Linked DNA regions of Arabidopsis thaliana. The protein of the gene in region 1 interacts with the protein of each later gene in a biochemical or structural test. Each region holds a gene or a part of one and is shown on either strand. Other genes may lie near its edges.

Region 1 (7,228 bases):
TGACGAAGTTGTGAACTCTGTTACACGACGTGCCATCTAATACCATAGGATATACAATATATGCTGACGTGACGAATAAATAAATTTCATATTTGCTAATAATTTCATTAAAATATGTTCGTGTTGTTGACAATTTTCTTTTACCTATAAAAAGTGATACTACCGCGAGACCATCTCCAACTCTAATCGATATTTCTTCTCTGTTATGGAGTAATAATCTTTTTAATTTACTCTATATATTACTCTAAAATAGAGTAAATGGTAAGCTTACTTTATATCTAAAGTAACTTTATTTTTTACACTCAAACTATTTTTATACAGAATCAAAAATAGAAAAATACAATAGAGATGGTCTTAGGCCTAAGCATAAATTTAGCTCTGTCCAGTTTCTTCCGAATATTGGATCATTCGGATTGTGTAATCTATTAGGCCTAGAAAAAGTTTAGCCAGAATAGTTTGGATGTAGTTCGGTTGAAGATAGAAATCGGGAAATCATTTATGATAAGCTTCTTTCCAATAATTCATTTACACACGAATGAGAAGATGCTTAAAAATCGCTAGATTACAAATTTTTTTGTCATGGTTAGTTGGTTCATCCGGTATTCCAACATTCAATAAAAGTAAATACTATAAATAAGCATTCTACATTTATAAAAAGAAAGATTCAATCGAGTCTGATTTCATCTAAAAGAGGGAAATATTTTACCAACCTTACTGACTCATAACTACGAAAGACATCACATCGATATCCTCCATAATTTTGGTAGTTCAAGTTTATTTATTCTCAACAATATGTCAATATCAAAAGCAATATATACCCATTAACAAACAAAAAGAAACGGTATCTAACTGCAACATATAGTGAAGAAGGCCAAAGTTCTACACAAACAATTCTCCTTCGTCACTGTTTATAAACGTATAAACTCGTATAAGTTCTTATAAGCAATAATCCGGAATAACGACAGTAGAAAATAAATGCTAGTTGTACATTTTAGTAGTTGAATCTCTGACAAAAAAATAAAAATAAAGGAAGAACTAAATTTAACAGAATCATAATTTATGACTGGTAAACTATAATTAATCATACTTTATAATTAAAATTTAACAAAATTAATTAAATAATGATTTTCCTAGGTGAAGATATGATATTATGATTTATGATCTCCAATAATTTATGATTGGTAAACCTACAATATAGTAAATTTCTTTATTTATTTTTTGTTATTTCGCCCATCTTGCACATTACCAACGAAGTCATAATTTTATATGAAATCCTTAGTTATTTATGCATTACGACTACCCACATAGAAGTATGGGTACTCACACCTAGTTTATTTACAATTTAATATGCATTGCATGTTCTAAAATTTCAACTTGAAGTTTATGATAAAATATAAATACGGAACAGTATGTTTATCGAAAAAAAAAAAACTTGAAGTTTATATCTCACCGAAGAATCTTCCGGCTCATCAATGGTACATAAATTATAATAAGGTGCTCGTTCATATCTAGCTTTATCATTTATAACATACGAAAATGTAACAGTTGAATTGCTAGCAGAAAATTAGCAGTGGTGGTGGTGGTAGTGGTCTTGTTAGTTGTTAGTGATTTGTTTAGTCTATAATAAATACTAAAGAGATGTTATTGGTTCCTAAAGAAATTTTCATGACCTTAATAATATTATAAAAAGTAAATAAATGAAAGATTAATTTAAACTATTGCTAGAAAGTTGTTTAATTCTTATTGATTATTTTCTCACAATTTTGTAAAATTTTCCAAATAATATCATTATTTTGATGATACTTTCATGACTTTATTTTAAGAAGAAAAATATAGAAAGTTATATACTAATAACACAATAATTTAATTTATTAAACAATCATTGATTCTTTTGTTTTAATTGAATAACACAAAACTTTTAATGACTTTATAAAAGTATGAATCCAATAACTCCAAATTTATGAAGATTTTAAATTTTTTTTTACAAATTTTAAACTAATAGTACCAAACTTTAACAAACTTTTAAAAATATTAATTTGATAACAACAAATTTTACATAATATTTTAAGTTAATAAAACTCAAATTAAATCACAAACCAATAACACTCCCAAAATATCAATTTAACGTCACAAGTACAAGATTGAAACTCATTAAATATGTATGATGTATCCTACTATATTATTTGGGAAGTACATTTTAAATGTAACCTTAATTTTTGTAATTAATTACATGACAATGCCATTAGAAAAATTTAATCAAAAACAAAATCTTTTAATAACACATTAAGATTACCAAAATCATTTAACGACAATATTCATCTCTTAATTATAGGCTTATTGGATTTAAAGACGGGTCATCAAAGATTTTCTAACTAAAGCAAAATATACTGAATATTCAAATATCTATCTATTACCAAATTATAAACAATTAAGTTCGTAAAACAATTTAATATTTTATATACGAAATAAAGTAAATCTTAATCACATAAAAATTAGCACAAAAAAAAATATGGTACATTCAGGTCTATAGTATTTTTGCAAGACTTTTTTGGTGGATTTGGGTAAAAGTGCATTCGGGTCATATGGTACATTCACCTATTAAATAAATATGGTATACTCCTATGTTATTAGCTAAAATGTTTAGATTATAATTCAGAGTCATATCATAAATAAAATTACTATTAATAAAATAAATGGCTTTTTGGCAAGACGGATTTGGAGGGACGGGTTTTTGAATCAACATTAATAAAAAAAGTAAAATATAATTAATCCACCATTTCAATACGGGTTAAATCTTTAATTTATTATTTTTTAAGACCACTAATATTAAACATATCAAATCATCCTAATTTAGAAAAAATTATATAAAACCAAAAATGTTATGTGGTATGTATAATGTTACTATATATAAACTTAAACTATAAAATATAAATGTATTAGAGAATGATACAATTTGCAAAACTTTTATATAGAATAAATAATTCTTAAATTTTAAAAATTACTACTTTAAAAAAAAATCACGGAACGGGTAAAGAAATTACATAACGGGTTTTATTTTGGAATTGGGTTATATGGTGGATGTATTTGAATTAATATTTATAAAATTTTAAAATATTATTAATATGTTGTTTTAATAGGGGTTAAAACTTCAGTTTTTTAACAATTGTCTCATGGATTCGTGGTATAGTGTTACTTAATAACAATTATAAACTGTAAAATATAAATATTTTATAAAAATAAAATTTGCAAATTTTAATATATATTACTTTTAAAAAATAAATCATCCCCTGGTATACCGAGGGTTAAAATCTAGTCCATGATTGTTACGGCATACCAAACTTACATGATAACTAAAGAGTCTTAGGTTAAAACTGTGGTAGTCAATATATGAAGAGTGTTGTTGATTTAATTTGCGAAGCAAGAAAGAACTAAAATTTTAAGACATTCCAAAAGACTCTGTATCATTCTGAAGGTTTGAGCTTGGAAAGCGAGCACGTGAGTCGCTCGTGAAACTATATAATTTACGAAAACTCTAAATACACCCCAATAGTATTATTTCATTCAAAACACACCCCACAATTTATTTAAAAGAGTCGGGGTTTTTCCAAGAACACTGGATCGTCGTCTCTCTCCTTTAGTTAGACAAAGCCTCCTTTCCCAAAACCCTAAAATCAGCCAAATTCAAATTCCGCTAACCAATTTCCATGGCAGAGGAAATTCCAGCAACAGCATCATTCACTCCATACGTCCATTCACAAACTCTAACATCTCACAATCGCGCCGTCTCCTCCGTGAAATTCTCCTCCGATGGACGTCTCCTCGCATCCGCCTCCGCCGACAAAACAATCCGCACTTACACAATCAACACCATTAACGATCCAATCGCCGAGCCCGTACAAGAATTCACCGGCCATGAAAACGGTATCTCCGATGTTGCATTCTCTTCAGACGCGAGGTTTATAGTCTCAGCTTCCGATGACAAAACCTTAAAGCTATGGGACGTTGAAACTGGTTCATTGATCAAGACGCTTATTGGACACACTAATTACGCCTTCTGTGTCAATTTCAATCCTCAATCAAATATGATTGTATCTGGTTCGTTTGATGAAACTGTTCGGATCTGGGATGTCACTACTGGAAAGTGTTTGAAAGTTCTTCCCGCGCATTCTGATCCTGTTACTGCTGTTGATTTTAATAGAGATGGGTCTCTCATTGTTTCGAGTAGCTATGATGGGTTGTGTCGTATATGGGATTCTGGGACTGGTCATTGTGTGAAAACTCTGATTGATGATGAGAATCCTCCTGTTTCGTTTGTTAGATTCTCTCCTAATGGCAAGTTTATCCTCGTTGGTACACTTGATAACACGCTGGTGAGTTCACTTGTTGAATTCCTTTCAAAGATTTGATGTTTTTAGTGTGATTACTAGTTTTGCTCTATAGTGATCTCGAAAAAAAGCATGAAGATTTTGGGTAGAGTGTGTTAGTAGAAGTTTGATGTAGGAGAAGCCAATTCAAAACTAAGTTTACAGAGAAGTTGTTAGCTTTAAGTATAGTTCTGTTGTTGGTTGATATTCAAGAGTTTCGAAGGGTCGTATCTAGAGGGTTGTAGCTTCGAAGATACATCGTCGTTTGGAGTTTGATTAATTTGCATTAGGAAATTAAATTCTTATGATTCGTTATTAATGCACTCATCTCTCCATGAACTTAGATTCTAGGTTGTGTGTTAATAGAAGTTTGATGTAGGAGAAGCCAATCCAAAGCTATTTTTGCAAAAATTGTTATCTAGTTAAGGAAAAGTTGATAGCTTTGGAACAGTTCTGTTATTGATCGAGATTCAACACTTTTGAAGGGTCGTATTTAGAGGGTTGTAAGATACATCTTCTTTTGGTGTTTGCGTCTATAGGGTATTGTTGAATAAAGGAATTCTCATGATTCGTTATAAATTTGCAGAGGTTGTGGAACATTTCGTCTGCTAAGTTCCTCAAAACATACACTGGCCACGTGAACGCACAGTATTGCATTTCCTCTGCGTTCTCCGTCACAAATGGAAAGCGAATAGTCAGTGGATCCGAGGACAACTGTGTACACATGTGGGAGCTAAACTCCAAGAAACTGCTACAGAAACTTGAGGGTCATACTGAGACCGTCATGAACGTAGCATGCCACCCGACAGAGAACTTGATCGCATCAGGCTCGCTCGACAAGACAGTAAGGATTTGGACACAGAAGAAAGAATAAATCATCACTCTCTCTCTTCAGAAATCAAACATGTAGGTACATGCCACCTTCTTCATGCAGTAATCATCTGTTGCTTACTAAGCTTGTTAGATTGATTCTAGCCTCATTATGTAAAAGTCTAATTTTTGTTTGGTGTAAGGGAAGTGCAACAGACTGTTCTAAACTTGTAATAGTTCTCTGTGTGACTCAGAACTATTTAGGTAGGTCTTAAGGCAAAGACTCCTGCAAGTGCAAAGGCATTTGAGAGAATGAACACAAATCTTCATAGGTTTACCCTTTACTCATTGTATCTATTAAGCTGATGCAATGCTTCACCAATACTATTGGTTATAAAGTAGTTTCAGGATTGAAAATTGTTCATCTGAACCATATTGATGGGTGGCTCATGGGTCAAAGTACAGATATATGACTATAAGTAGATAATGTATGGTAGTTGGTTACTTTGGTTGGCCATGATGATGAAGCTTATGGTCCCCTGGTCCTGTCCCATTTTTTACTTTTCATTTTCACTTTTATCGTAAAGTCTTCTTTTTTTTAAACCCTACAAGATTTTGAAATGGACCACTTGAAAATTTGAACCCACTCTCTCTTTTTTTGTTTTCAATTTCGAAACCAAAATTTTTTAACAAAAAGATGACTTTGTGACCTTTGTTCTGTCTTTTAGCTACACACCAGTGGGCTGTTTGCTTTTACAGCGTGTCTTTCTGTTTACATGATTCAAGAGAAAGCAACAGTTCCTAAAGACTCAGTCATGTTTGTGTCTCTCCCAATTGATACAAAGACCAAAATTCAGCTTTGGTTCTTTTGTGTAAAAGTTCTCGAGATATGCTAATAAGATTAAACATAAAAACTCTCAAAAAGAGTATAAATTGAATTCTTTATGATTGTAGTAGCAAACAATAATTGTTAGGTTTAGTGCTATCATAATAATCTATTAGTCAGGTTAAATATATTCGATTTGGTACCAAATACGAAATCAAGCTTCAACAAACGAATCTGCAATACACACACACCCATCCAAAAGTATATCTTCGACATTTTCCCCAAAAAAGTATACATTTCCTAACACGTGCTTACCAATTCTTATCATTCGAAGTAAACCATTAAACAAGAAATGTTTTCATTATTATAAATTTTTCACTAATATAAGTTTATTATTTAGTGCAAGAAAGTGCGTTGCAGATGAAAACTTATTCTATTGATCCGGGTCCATAAAGAAGAAAACAAAAATTCACCTAATACGAGTACGACTTATTCTAGTGGCTACATATTTCCCTAATCATGTGACTAAAAATCTGCTTTCAAAATTTTGACATTCAGTATTTCTTTAGATCTATATCATTAAAAATTCATTTTTTTCTTTTGCATTTTGATTCCATATTTAATACAAGATTAAAAAAAAAAAAACTAATATGTTTGTTCACTGAGCAAACCATTATTGTTGATCAGTGAACTGTGGTAACTGGCAAAAGAAGCAAATGATTCGAAATCCTACTTTCTTACAAAATCAAATTGGATAATTTTGTGAGATAATAAAAAATCAGTATAAATAAAATAAAATACATGTCGGGAAACCATTATTGTTGATCAGTGAACTGTGGTAACTGGCAAAAGATGAAAATGATGCACATAGGACTGTGTTTAACTGACTTACTTCCACTAATCAAAAGTACGATCGTATCCCTACCCATCTCTCGAGGATCTTAACTGTTGCCGTGCGTCATCTCAAGGTTGTTCTCGTCATTATCAGTCGATCAGAGTACAGAGACCGGCTCTCTGGGTTTTGTCGATCATGCCATTGCCTTGGGGCTTGTTGTTGTGGTCCGTCCTAAGGATAGAAATGTTATTACAAAGCTTTTTAAGGGGTTCTTTGGTTAATTAAGTGTTTCGTTTTGCTTAAGAGAGGTTAAAGAAGCGGGTGTCTCAATAAGTTTTGGTAAGTTTGTGAATCCCCAGTGGTGGACTCCATCTTTTCCCGTCGAATTATAAC
Region 2 (10,835 bases), on another chromosome or scaffold:
CTTAATATTATCGGTTACCACCTAATTTTATTAGTCACTACTCAGTGTGATACATGCAAGACTCGAAATTGCGCTATTGCCACCAAAGATAATCTTGAAGATGTCTCAATAACGCATATCAAAAATTTCACTAACAAACCTTTAAATCATACACACAGACATAGGGATACGGAACAGAAAGTGGTGAACTTACTCATATTTTCTAGAGAGTATCCGCAACACAAACAAAGCCCCATAAATTTGTTGATTTTGCAAGTTGTACTTCACCCAATCCAGAAGACGTGGCCATTGTTCTGGGTAGTCAGCATAAATAATTGTCTTGAGAGACTCTCCAAGTTGTGATCTGGATAAGAAAATTAGGGGAAAAAAAAATTATGGTTGTTGTTGAGGCTTATAGAAGATGCTATTGGGACCAAGGTAATGAGAAAAAAATACTAACTTAAAAAAAAATCATCTTCTATCTGCCGTTTTTTAATATCTAGAACCTAAGGATAATGTAGAGACACATTCAAAGATGTATATATAAAAGAAGAGGACTATCAGCTTGAAGACAATCTATCAGACAAGATGATGAGCAATTTGTAGGCATGATTAGCCATACAGGTTACAAATATTTTCATAAAATCGCTTAAAATCAGACCACGTCAGACAGAGTTCAGCAAACCAAATGACTTGAATGATAATTCCAAAAGCTATCTGGCAAATTTACCTGAGTAAGGTTGGAACTTGGGTGACATAGACGAGAATATTGTCCCTCACCAATTCTTTGTCACTCTCAAATATCTGCTGCTGCCTTACTGCAGGACCTGCACCATCAAATATGCAAATTAATCTAAAGATCTTCCAAACGCTAAGCCGAGACAAGATAATTAGAATACAAAATTATTACCACAATCCTCAGGTGACCAGTTCTTAGCAATTAAATTTTTGAACTGAATACTAGCAATTTGACGCACTGCCATGTCACAATTTCCATCCACGGCTATCTGCAATAACCTCACCAAATGCTGGGGCGTGTGCTCCAACTGCAAGACAAAAGAATAACGAGAAACTCAGGCATCAGAAACTGCATAACTTTAATTGATCATTAGAAATAGTAAACACCACTGAAATCTGGCTACAGTGAATTAAAGCAAATAACGATTTGTTCAAAAAGAGTGGGAATCTTTGAACTATCTTCAGTAAAACCAGAAAGTGAACTTATAAGGAAACTCTATACATGAACTCAGCTCAAACTTTAAGATACTACTAGCAGAATAAGAACAATCAAACTCGCGACCAAGCAACCGTGTAAATACATCGAAAGAGAAATTGAAGTGGAAACTGAGAAACCTGATTGAGTTGCTGCTCAGAAACTTTACGCTCATCGGGAATAGGGCTAAGAGCGGCGGTTCGGAGGATCAAAGCGAGGCTATGCAGATCCATTCTCCGTGGAGTTTGAGAATCCGGACACTAAACAGAGTAAACCTTGATGACGATCAGAGGCAGTGGTTGATATTCGATTTGAAATTCCCAACCAAGAGAGAGAGCTGAATTAGAGGAGGGGAGAATCTCAGAAGAGCATGATAGGGTTTAAGAGGGACAAGAATGGCGGAGAAGAAGGAGAAGAAGATTTGATTGATAGTTGGCGAGAGTGGAGGAGAGGGACAAATAGAGCTGGACGATTTACAGTATTTAAATCCCTAGGGTTGTTTAACTAACCAAAACCACCCAATTTTGATTCTGATTGACCCGGGTCTTCTTTAGCCGGTTTATTCCGAACCGGGTCTTCTCTTACTAAATGACGTCACTGATTCTCTTACTAATTAAGTTCAGGTGAATTTGAGGGGAAAACAAATATTTTTGGACATGTATGTGTCTGAAAATGTGATTTTCCCTCTTTTTTTTTGATGAATATATAGTTTAAAATAAAAACTAACAAAGACATAAAAAAATGTTTTTCTCCTTTTAATCAAGTATGTATTATTTTATTTGTTCTGGTCATAATCCTAAGTGAGTGTGGTTGGTATTTTGATGAAAATTTAAAATTGTTCATTCCATAATATTTATGTCCAAGTATATATGGACGTAAATCATGTAAGCGATGATGAATCCCAATGTTAGATGACATCAAAGAATTTTGTGACCATAGGCCATATGTGTTGTGTAAATTTTGTGGGTATCTAGAGAAAGCCAACCAACAAACGCTATATGGATACTTTGACAATAAGTTCCATCCATCAGCTGCCAGTTTGTCCAAGTATCAAAATTTCATCCGAAAAGCTGATAAGCCGCCAATCTGCCCCAAGTATCTAGGAAACGACATATTCTAATGCCTAGTTGATGGGAAGAACTTTGGAGGTACACACATCACCTATCTTGAAGCTCATGAAAGCAAGTATTTTAACCTTACTTACTTTTAAATATATATGTCTCTAGCGTGTATAGCATCCCTATGTGGATCAATTTAGAGCACTAGTGAGCATTGTATGCTACCGCATAAGAAAATGCAACTACTGTTAACCATGATGATTACATCCTTATTAACATATATGACACACTGCAAAAGTCACTGGATGCGATCAAGTTAGCAGCGGTATTTTCCATGTGTCAAAAGCATACTAATATACTACAGTCAACCGTATATTGTTCTTTAGTTAAGTTAAGTAAAGACTACTCCTACTAGACAGATATTCGGTTTATGAATCCAAATCAAGTAATTGCTATGAATAGCCGTTCATTTAAGAATGAAGATAAGGGAAGTGAGTTGAAATGTTTCTTTTAACCTCATATCTTTACTTCAACTTATCACACCTTAAAAACTGGATTAGAGTTCCACTTGTCCGATTCATAGAAAAAATCTTGTATCTATCACAAAAATCTTTAACATATGTTTGATTATTTATCCACAAACTAAGCTTTTTAGGTTGAAATATTATATTATTCTAGAAAACTTCAGAACAATCCAAAACAAGTAATACCAAGGGAGCAAATCGTTGGAATTTCCTCACAAGAAAATTCTCTAGCTCATTTGAGAAAATAGGTAGTATTACTTGAAGAACCCCATTCAATAATTGAATTTATGAGCAATTCGGTTGATTTCTACCTTCATTCAAATTCTAGTCAATCTTGTCTTTTTGTTCCAATGGAATTTAATTTGGATTAACCAGAAAAATATGTCTTATACACTATACTTAACAGACTAAAAACCCAAAAATATACGTATGAACTGAAAAAAAACAAAACAAATTCCATGTAGTGAAGATTACACAAAAACTGGTAAACAACAATTATCTGAAAACAAAACTATATAAAAGAATCAGAGACTCTTGTTGAATTTTGCCCAAAAAAAAAAGACTCTTGTTGAAAATAAAATACATGACAACCGGGATTTTTTTTTTCTACAAGTGGAATTTTTATTTATTTTATTTTTAGTTTTATATGTTTTTATTAACCAGATATTAATTTTTATATACATACACACACACACTATATATGAATGTATGTATGCGGAGATATATAAGGAGACAGAGCAATAGATCTGAAAGACTTGTCATCATCTTAATAAACCCGGCGGGAAACGTAAAAAAGCCTTTTAGCTTCTCCCTCCAAAGGATCTGTTTTTTTCCCTTTTTCTCTGATTCTTCTTCCTAAACCCTAATTTCTCCAATCCACGAAATTCCCTAGCAATTTTTTTGGGGGTTTAGTGAAAGAAGGATAGAGAGAGTGAGCAAAGGTGTCTCCTTTACGAAGCCCTGTGCTTTCTCCCTCCGAATAATCTCCATGGCGTGTTTTTCTAACGAAACCCAGATCGAAATTGATGTCCACGATCTAGTGGAAGCTCCGATTCGCTACGATTCTATTGAGAGTATCTACTCTATTCCTTCATCGGCATTGTGCTGTGTTAATGCCGTTGGTTCTCACAGTCTGATGTCTAAGAAGGTTAAGGCCCAGAAGCTTCCGATGATTGAGCAATTCGAGATTGAAGGTAGCGGTGTTAGTGCTAGTGACGATTGTTGTCGTTCGGATGATTATAAGTTGCGGATTCAGCGTCCTGAGATTGTTCGCGTCTACTATCGTCGCCGTAAGAGGCCGCTACGGGAGTGTTTACTAGATCAGGCGGTGGCTGTGAAGACTGAAAGTGTGGAGCTTGATGAAATTGATTGTTTTGAGGAGAAGAAGAGAAGGAAGATTGGTAATTGTGAGTTGGTGAAATCGGGTATGGAGTCGATTGGTTTAAGAAGGTGTAAGGAAAACAATGCGTTTAGTGGGAATAAGCAAAATGGGTCATCCCGAAGGAAGGGGTCTTCTAGCAAGAATCAGGACAAGGCGACTCTGGCTTCTCGTTCAGCTAAGAAATGGGTCAGGTTAGGGTCTACCTATCATCTCTTTAACTGTTGAAATTCATGGACTTTGAAACTGTTGCGCTGTTGTTTTGCACTGATGATTTTCTTAGTTCAGACTTTGAAGACCTTTTATTGTTAGTGGGCAGACTCCTTATGATGGAGTTTTGATGTGGCAGGTTGAGTTATGATGGTGTGGATCCTACAAGTTTCATAGGGCTGCAATGCAAGGCGAGTGTTTTAACTAGACAATTGTCCACTTTAAGCTATTGCATTTTCCACTTTTTTTGTGAATGGGACATCTTAACAATTGGTTGTCGTTTAATCCCTAGGTTTTTTGGCCGCTGGACGCTCTTTGGTATGAAGGTTCCATTGTTGGATATAGTGCAGAGAGAAAGCGTTACACTGTAAGTAATTCTCTACTCTACTTGAGTTATGAGTTGGGTAGTTCTTTGAGCTATGATATATGTAAAAGCTTGTTCCTCTAACCATGATTAAATTCTTCCTTAGGTCAAATATAGGGATGGATGTGATGAGGATATAGTTTTTGATCGTGAAATGATCAAATTTTTGGTTTCTCGTGAAGAGATGGAGCTATTACATCTGAAGTTTTGTACTAGTAATGTGACTGTCGATGGCCGTGATTACGATGAGATGGTTGTATTGGCAGCTACTTTGGACGAATGCCAAGATTTTGAGCCTGGAGACATTGTATGGGCGAAACTAGCTGGTTTGTCTTAAACTGATTTCCACCTTTTATTCATATATTAAAAAAAATACCTCCTTATGCTATCAGCAAGTTGATGCTGTTGGAAGCATGTAGACAAAGAAAACTACCTACTGACTTCCATAGAACTGCATTTGCTTTCCTATTCGGACAGGTCATGCTATGTGGCCAGCAGTTATTGTAGACGAATCCATTATCGGAGAGCGGAAAGGTCTAAACAACAAGGTATCTGGAGGAGGATCACTCTTGGTCCAATTTTTTGGAACTCATGATTTTGCTAGGTTAGTCAGCGTTTCCTATATACTTAAAAAATCTCGTTTTTCTACTGAGATGTTGAGATCAATGTTACACATTATCAAGCTGAAGTTAACATCCTTTGGTTTTATAGAATAAAAGTAAAGCAAGCAATCTCATTTATCAAAGGGCTTCTTTCGCCATCTCACCTGAAGTGCAAACAACCTCGGTTTGAAGAGGGCATGCAGGAAGCAAAAATGCAAGTCCCTCTCGCTTTTCTTTGGCATTCTGCTTTCTTGACTTTCCAGTACATGTTGCATTAACAATTAGACCAATCATTTCTTCATGATGTTTCATTTTGAAACCTGGACATGTTACCTGTCCTGAAATTTCTGTTATTTTGCCTCACTCAGGTATCTGAAGGCACACAGGCTTCCAGAAAGAATGAGTCAACTTCAAAAGGGAGCTGATTCTGTTGATTCCGATATGGCTAATAGTACAGAAGAGGGAAACTCGGGTGGTGATCTTCTTAATGATGGAGAAGTGTGGTTGAGACCAACAGAACATGTAGACTTCCGGCATATAATAGGGGATCTGCTAATAATAAATCTTGGTAAGCCATGAAACTTATATATAAGTATGGTGTATAATCTTTCATTCTATGGTTCATTATTTATAGTTGGTTATAGGAAAACTCCAATGATAATATATAGGCGTATGACTTGTCTTACAGGAAAGGTTGTGACAGACTCTCAGTTTTTCAAGGATGAGAATCATATTTGGCCTGAAGGGTATACGGCGATGAGAAAGTTCACATCACTCACAGGTTATTTGTTAATCAGTTTTTGGCTTTTACTTATAAATCAGGTATTTTTCCATATTTGGTTAATTGTGATTAGTTCTCAATGTGATGTGGGTTGTTGCTTTTGGTTTTAAGCAGATCATAGTGCATCTGCCTTGTACAAGATGGAAGTGCTCAGAGATGCCGAGACAAAGACTCATCCGCTGTTTATAGTGACTGCAGATAGTGGAGAGCAGGTGAGTTAAACATATCTATTAGTATCTGTTTTATTGAACTTTCAGGTCAAGAATCTATCTCTGGCTAACATCGGTAACTAATTTTTTGGCAGTTCAAAGGGCCTACTCCATCGGCCTGCTGGAACAAAATATATAATAGGATAAAAAAGGTCCAGAATTCTGACAGTCCTAATATTTTGGGTGAAGAACTAAATGGATCTGGTACAGACATGTTTGGTCTCTCCAACCCAGAAGTCATTAAACTTGTACAGGTACCTTGTCATTGCATGTAAAATTATTTGTGGTGGTGTGCATGTGTTTTCATGATAATCTGCTTGCACATGCATTTTGGTCTCATAAAAATCATATAATTGTCTGGACACTGAATATTTTGTGGTACCCTTGCTTTTGCTTTATCTCTAAAACGTGTAAGCGGGTCTCATTTATGTTTAATATGAATGTTTGATGCACAAACCAAGTTTTCCTGTAAGACATTTAAGCTTGTGCACTAAATATTTCTATGCAGCTCTTTGCTAATTGGTTTATGGGTAGCCTAATTCGCTATTTCCGGTCTAAAGGCATATTAGAATCACATCTTCATCAATGAGACAACACTAACTTCACCTACGAAATAATCATTTCTGCCTAGTGACTATGGCTTCTTTTCTTTAATTGTTACGGTTTCTTTCTCTTCTGTAAGAAAACTGTATGAATTAAATTAACAGTTATTAATCGAAGCCAGCTTAACAAGTATTTACAGTGAGTTTCTAAGGATAAAATATGTGCATTTGGTCTATTGATTGAAAGAAAATTTGTGTTTAAGTGAAACTAAAGAGTAGAATTCTGTTCTGGAGTCTTTATAGCGAAACTCGTTTTGTAGGACATATTACCTTATATTATTTCATTAGGCAGATACCTATCAAGATGGTTGCTAGAATTTGCAAACTTTTATAATTAATTCCCTATGTACTGCTTGCCGGCGCCCTGTTTTATACAATTGCATTATTGTTTAGCTTCTAGTGTCTACACTTAATATGTGTCTCACCCTAATATACCATTACGTAGCAGGATTTATCAAAATCCAGACCATCGTCCCATGTTTCCATGTGCAAAAATAGTTTGGGAAGGCATCAAAATCAGCCTACTGGTTACCGACCTGTCCGTGTTGACTGGAAAGATCTCGATAAGTGCAATGTCTGCCACATGGATGAGGTAAAGGTTTTTTTTTTGTTTCACATGAGATTTCAAACGTTTCTCTTTAGTTAGTTCTGATTTATATATTTTTTGTCTGCAGGAGTATGAGAACAATTTGTTCCTGCAATGTGATAAATGTAGAATGATGGTATAGCTCATGCTCTGGGCTTTTTTAGCTATCATATACCTCTTAGATGTATATCTTTAGTGCCTTGTGCTCTTTCTTTCTCTTGGGTATGACTCAATTTGAATTCCTGGTCCACTACTAGGTCCATGCTAAATGCTATGGAGAGCTAGAACCCTGTGATGGTGCTTTGTGGTTATGCAACTTATGTCGTCCTGGTGCTCCTGATATGCCTCCACGGTGTTGTCTTTGTCCTGTAGTAGGTAATTTTACCGTACCATTTGGTGTATGGAGTCTATATGTGCTTTCATTAGTGAATAATTGAAACTTCTTTTAGGGGGTGCTATGAAGCCGACAACTGATGGTCGCTGGGCTCATCTGGCTTGTGCTATATGGATCCCAGGTTCAATCTTAACGATTTGTTGTTCTGTATAAGTCTGCTTTCCTACTAATAGGAGGCCGTATTACACTATTACTTTCCTATTTACAAATTAACACTTGTTATTTTATTCAGAAACATGTTTATCTGATGTCAAGAAGATGGAACCTATTGATGGGGTGAATAAAGTCAGCAAGGTACGTACTTATTTTCTTGTTCGGATTCCTTTACCTTGGTACTGTGGCCTTTTCAAAACTCTTATCCCTCTTCCTCTTTTTCTCTACTCTTAAAACTAGGATCGTTGGAAATTAATGTGCACCATCTGCGGGGTATCTTATGGAGCTTGTATCCAAGTAAGATTTCGTTCTATGTTAAGAGAAAACTGAATCATTCTTATGCATTGTTCAAGAGCTGATATATATAATTTTAAAATGACTACATTTCAGTGTTCAAACAATTCTTGTCGCGTGGCATATCATCCACTCTGCGCGCGAGCTGCTGGTCTCTGTGTTGAGGTACCTTAGGGAATAAAAAAAATTTCTTTCCCACTTACACACATGTACTCTAACACAGCAAGTCCACAAAAGAGATGTTTCTAACTGATTATTGCTTTCCTGACTCTCCATGTAGCTTGAGAATGACATGTCAGTGGAGGGTGAAGAAGCAGATCAGTGTATCCGCATGCTTTCATTCTGCAAGCGACATCGACAAACATCAACTGCCTGCCTAGGATCAGAAGACAGGATCAAATCCGCTACTCATAAAACTTCTGAGTATCTCCCACCACCTAATCCATCTGGCTGTGCTCGGACAGGTATGCAGCTACTGCGTTTATCTGTGGATGCTAAGATTAAAATTTAGATTCACACCACACTTTTGGGACAGGATTATTTCATCATTATTCTTTTACCTTGCATACGGCCATGTGTGTTTTGTTCTCTTTCATATTCTTACATATCCTCTTAAGATATCAGTTTCTTACTTTATATACAAGCATTTTTTAGATTTGATACAAAGGTCAAATTTCAGGCTTTTGTGTTTCCATTCTTTTCTACTTTTATTCGTGTTTGCATCCTATGGGTCAGTATAGATGATAATTTCCGTCTATTGTTGCAGAGCCTTATAATTGTTTTGGCAGAAGAGGGCGAAAGGAACCTGAAGCTCTTGCTGCTGCTTCTTCAAAGCGGTTATTTGTTGAGAATCAGCCATATGTTATTGGTGGTTACTCTAGACTTGAGTTTTCAACGTACAAAAGCATTCACGGATCCAAGGTGTCACAGATGAATACTCCAAGCAACATTCTTTCTATGGCTGAGAAATATAGATACATGAGGGAAACATACAGGAAGAGATTAGCATTTGGTAAGCATTCGTTATTCTTTAACTTTCAGTAAATCTTAAAAGATATTACAGGTCTTTTCAACTTCTGCTAAGATAAAAAATATAGTAGGATTTCTGTAGGATAAAAATAATTTGTAGGATTCCTTTCAGAATGATCTAGTCACATCCTAAGCTTCTTTCAGAAAAATCTTATAAAAGTTGGTTCTTTTTTTGTTTCAGGGAAATCAGGAATTCATGGTTTTGGCATTTTTGCAAAGCTTCCTCACAGGGCGGGAGATATGGTGAGCATACTCAACTTGAACTGGACATTTCATCTTTAGAAAGTGTCACTCATGGAAATATTGTATGATTCTTGTGCAGATGATTGAATATACCGGAGAACTTGTTAGACCGTCAATAGCTGACAAAAGAGAACAACTCATCTACAATTCAATGGTGGTACGTATTTCTGACTTAACTTACTTTCTACATTTTGATGTTATGGAGAAGATTCTATAAACAATAATGGAACAAATAGTCAGGGGATTAATCTGTACCTATTCATCATCTAAAACAGTAACTTTTTGTATTTTTCTTTTATCTTTTACTTTCTCTGTAGTATAAATCTTGGATGCGACGAATTCAATATCTGAGAAAAAACAAAATTTTCTTATGTGATAGGGTGCAGGGACTTACATGTTTAGAATCGATGATGAGCGAGTCATAGATGCTACAAGGACAGGAAGCATTGCTCACCTGATTAATCATTCATGTGTGGTATGAATATATCTGTTAATCTAATTCAATTTAGTTAGCATCTGCAAAAACTGAGCATTTTTGTCTAACTTTAATGCAGCCCAATTGCTATTCTCGAGTCATCACTGTTAATGGAGATGAGCACATTATCATATTCGCAAAGAGGCATATCCCTAAATGGGAAGAGCTGACCTATGACTATAGGTTTCACTTTGATGCCCTTTGAATCATCTGAGATATTCTATGATCATTTTCTGCCTCTGATCTTGTAATGTTTACAGGTTCTTTTCAATCGGGGAGCGCCTTTCATGTTCGTGTGGCTTCCCAGGGTGTCGAGGTGTTGTTAATGATACAGAAGCTGAAGAACAACATGCAAAAATATGTGTTCCTCGTTGTGATCTAATAGACTGGACCGCAGAATAAGCGACTAAAACTGTAGTTAGTAACAATCATCCCTTTATAATGTTGTAGCTCCTTATAATGAGAGAGCATCTGTTGTTTAGTTTTGCCACAATCCATTTTTTTGTACAGATACTAATTAGTGAGTAGTAAACTACACGGATCACAGAGTGGTAAAGCAACAGTACAATTCTCTTTTTCTTTCCTGATTTGAGTGTGCCTTAGGTTTTATCCTGATGGTGTCAATTTTTAGCAATTGGGATGCAGAGCATAATGTTTTTAACCTTACTGTCTAGTATCTCTACCTGAAACAGAGGTTTTGCAAGGATTTAAATCATTGATTTGTCCAAAGCAATATCCCTT

What was found. Proteins that work in one complex are often made in the same cells at the same time.
Region 2: the proteins of WDR5a (region 1) and ATX1 form a complex in vitro, tested with the Arabidopsis thaliana proteins (one study listed by BioGRID).

What each region holds. Positions count from the first base shown.
Region 1 is NC_003074.8:18,409,986-18,417,213, forward strand, and holds WDR5a (Transducin/WD40 repeat-like superfamily protein), read left to right. Parts: upstream 1-3,578; 5' UTR 3,579-3,704; coding exon 3,705-4,370; intron 4,371-4,950; coding exon 4,951-5,238; 3' UTR 5,239-5,728; downstream 5,729-7,228. UniProt on the Arabidopsis thaliana protein: Forms multiple COMPASS-like complexes involved in histone methylation by interacting with different histone H3 'Lys-4' methyltransferases such as ATX1, SDG14 or SDG16.
Region 2 is NC_003071.7:13,455,109-13,465,943, reverse strand, and holds ATX1 (homologue of trithorax), read left to right. Parts: upstream 1-3,512; 5' UTR 3,513-3,762; coding exon 3,763-4,346; intron 4,347-4,501; coding exon 4,502-4,553; intron 4,554-4,654; coding exon 4,655-4,729; intron 4,730-4,832; coding exon 4,833-5,052; intron 5,053-5,203; coding exon 5,204-5,330; intron 5,331-5,437; coding exon 5,438-5,542; intron 5,543-5,696; coding exon 5,697-5,896; intron 5,897-6,016; coding exon 6,017-6,109; intron 6,110-6,223; coding exon 6,224-6,321; intron 6,322-6,413; coding exon 6,414-6,572; intron 6,573-7,368; coding exon 7,369-7,512; intron 7,513-7,594; coding exon 7,595-7,642; intron 7,643-7,763; coding exon 7,764-7,881; intron 7,882-7,955; coding exon 7,956-8,021; intron 8,022-8,132; coding exon 8,133-8,194; intron 8,195-8,293; coding exon 8,294-8,350; intron 8,351-8,443; coding exon 8,444-8,512; intron 8,513-8,627; coding exon 8,628-8,811; intron 8,812-9,113; coding exon 9,114-9,359; intron 9,360-9,557; and 11 more. Other genes in the region: SAD2 (ARM repeat superfamily protein), read right to left, coding at 194-343, 710-806, 890-1,025, 1,333-1,425.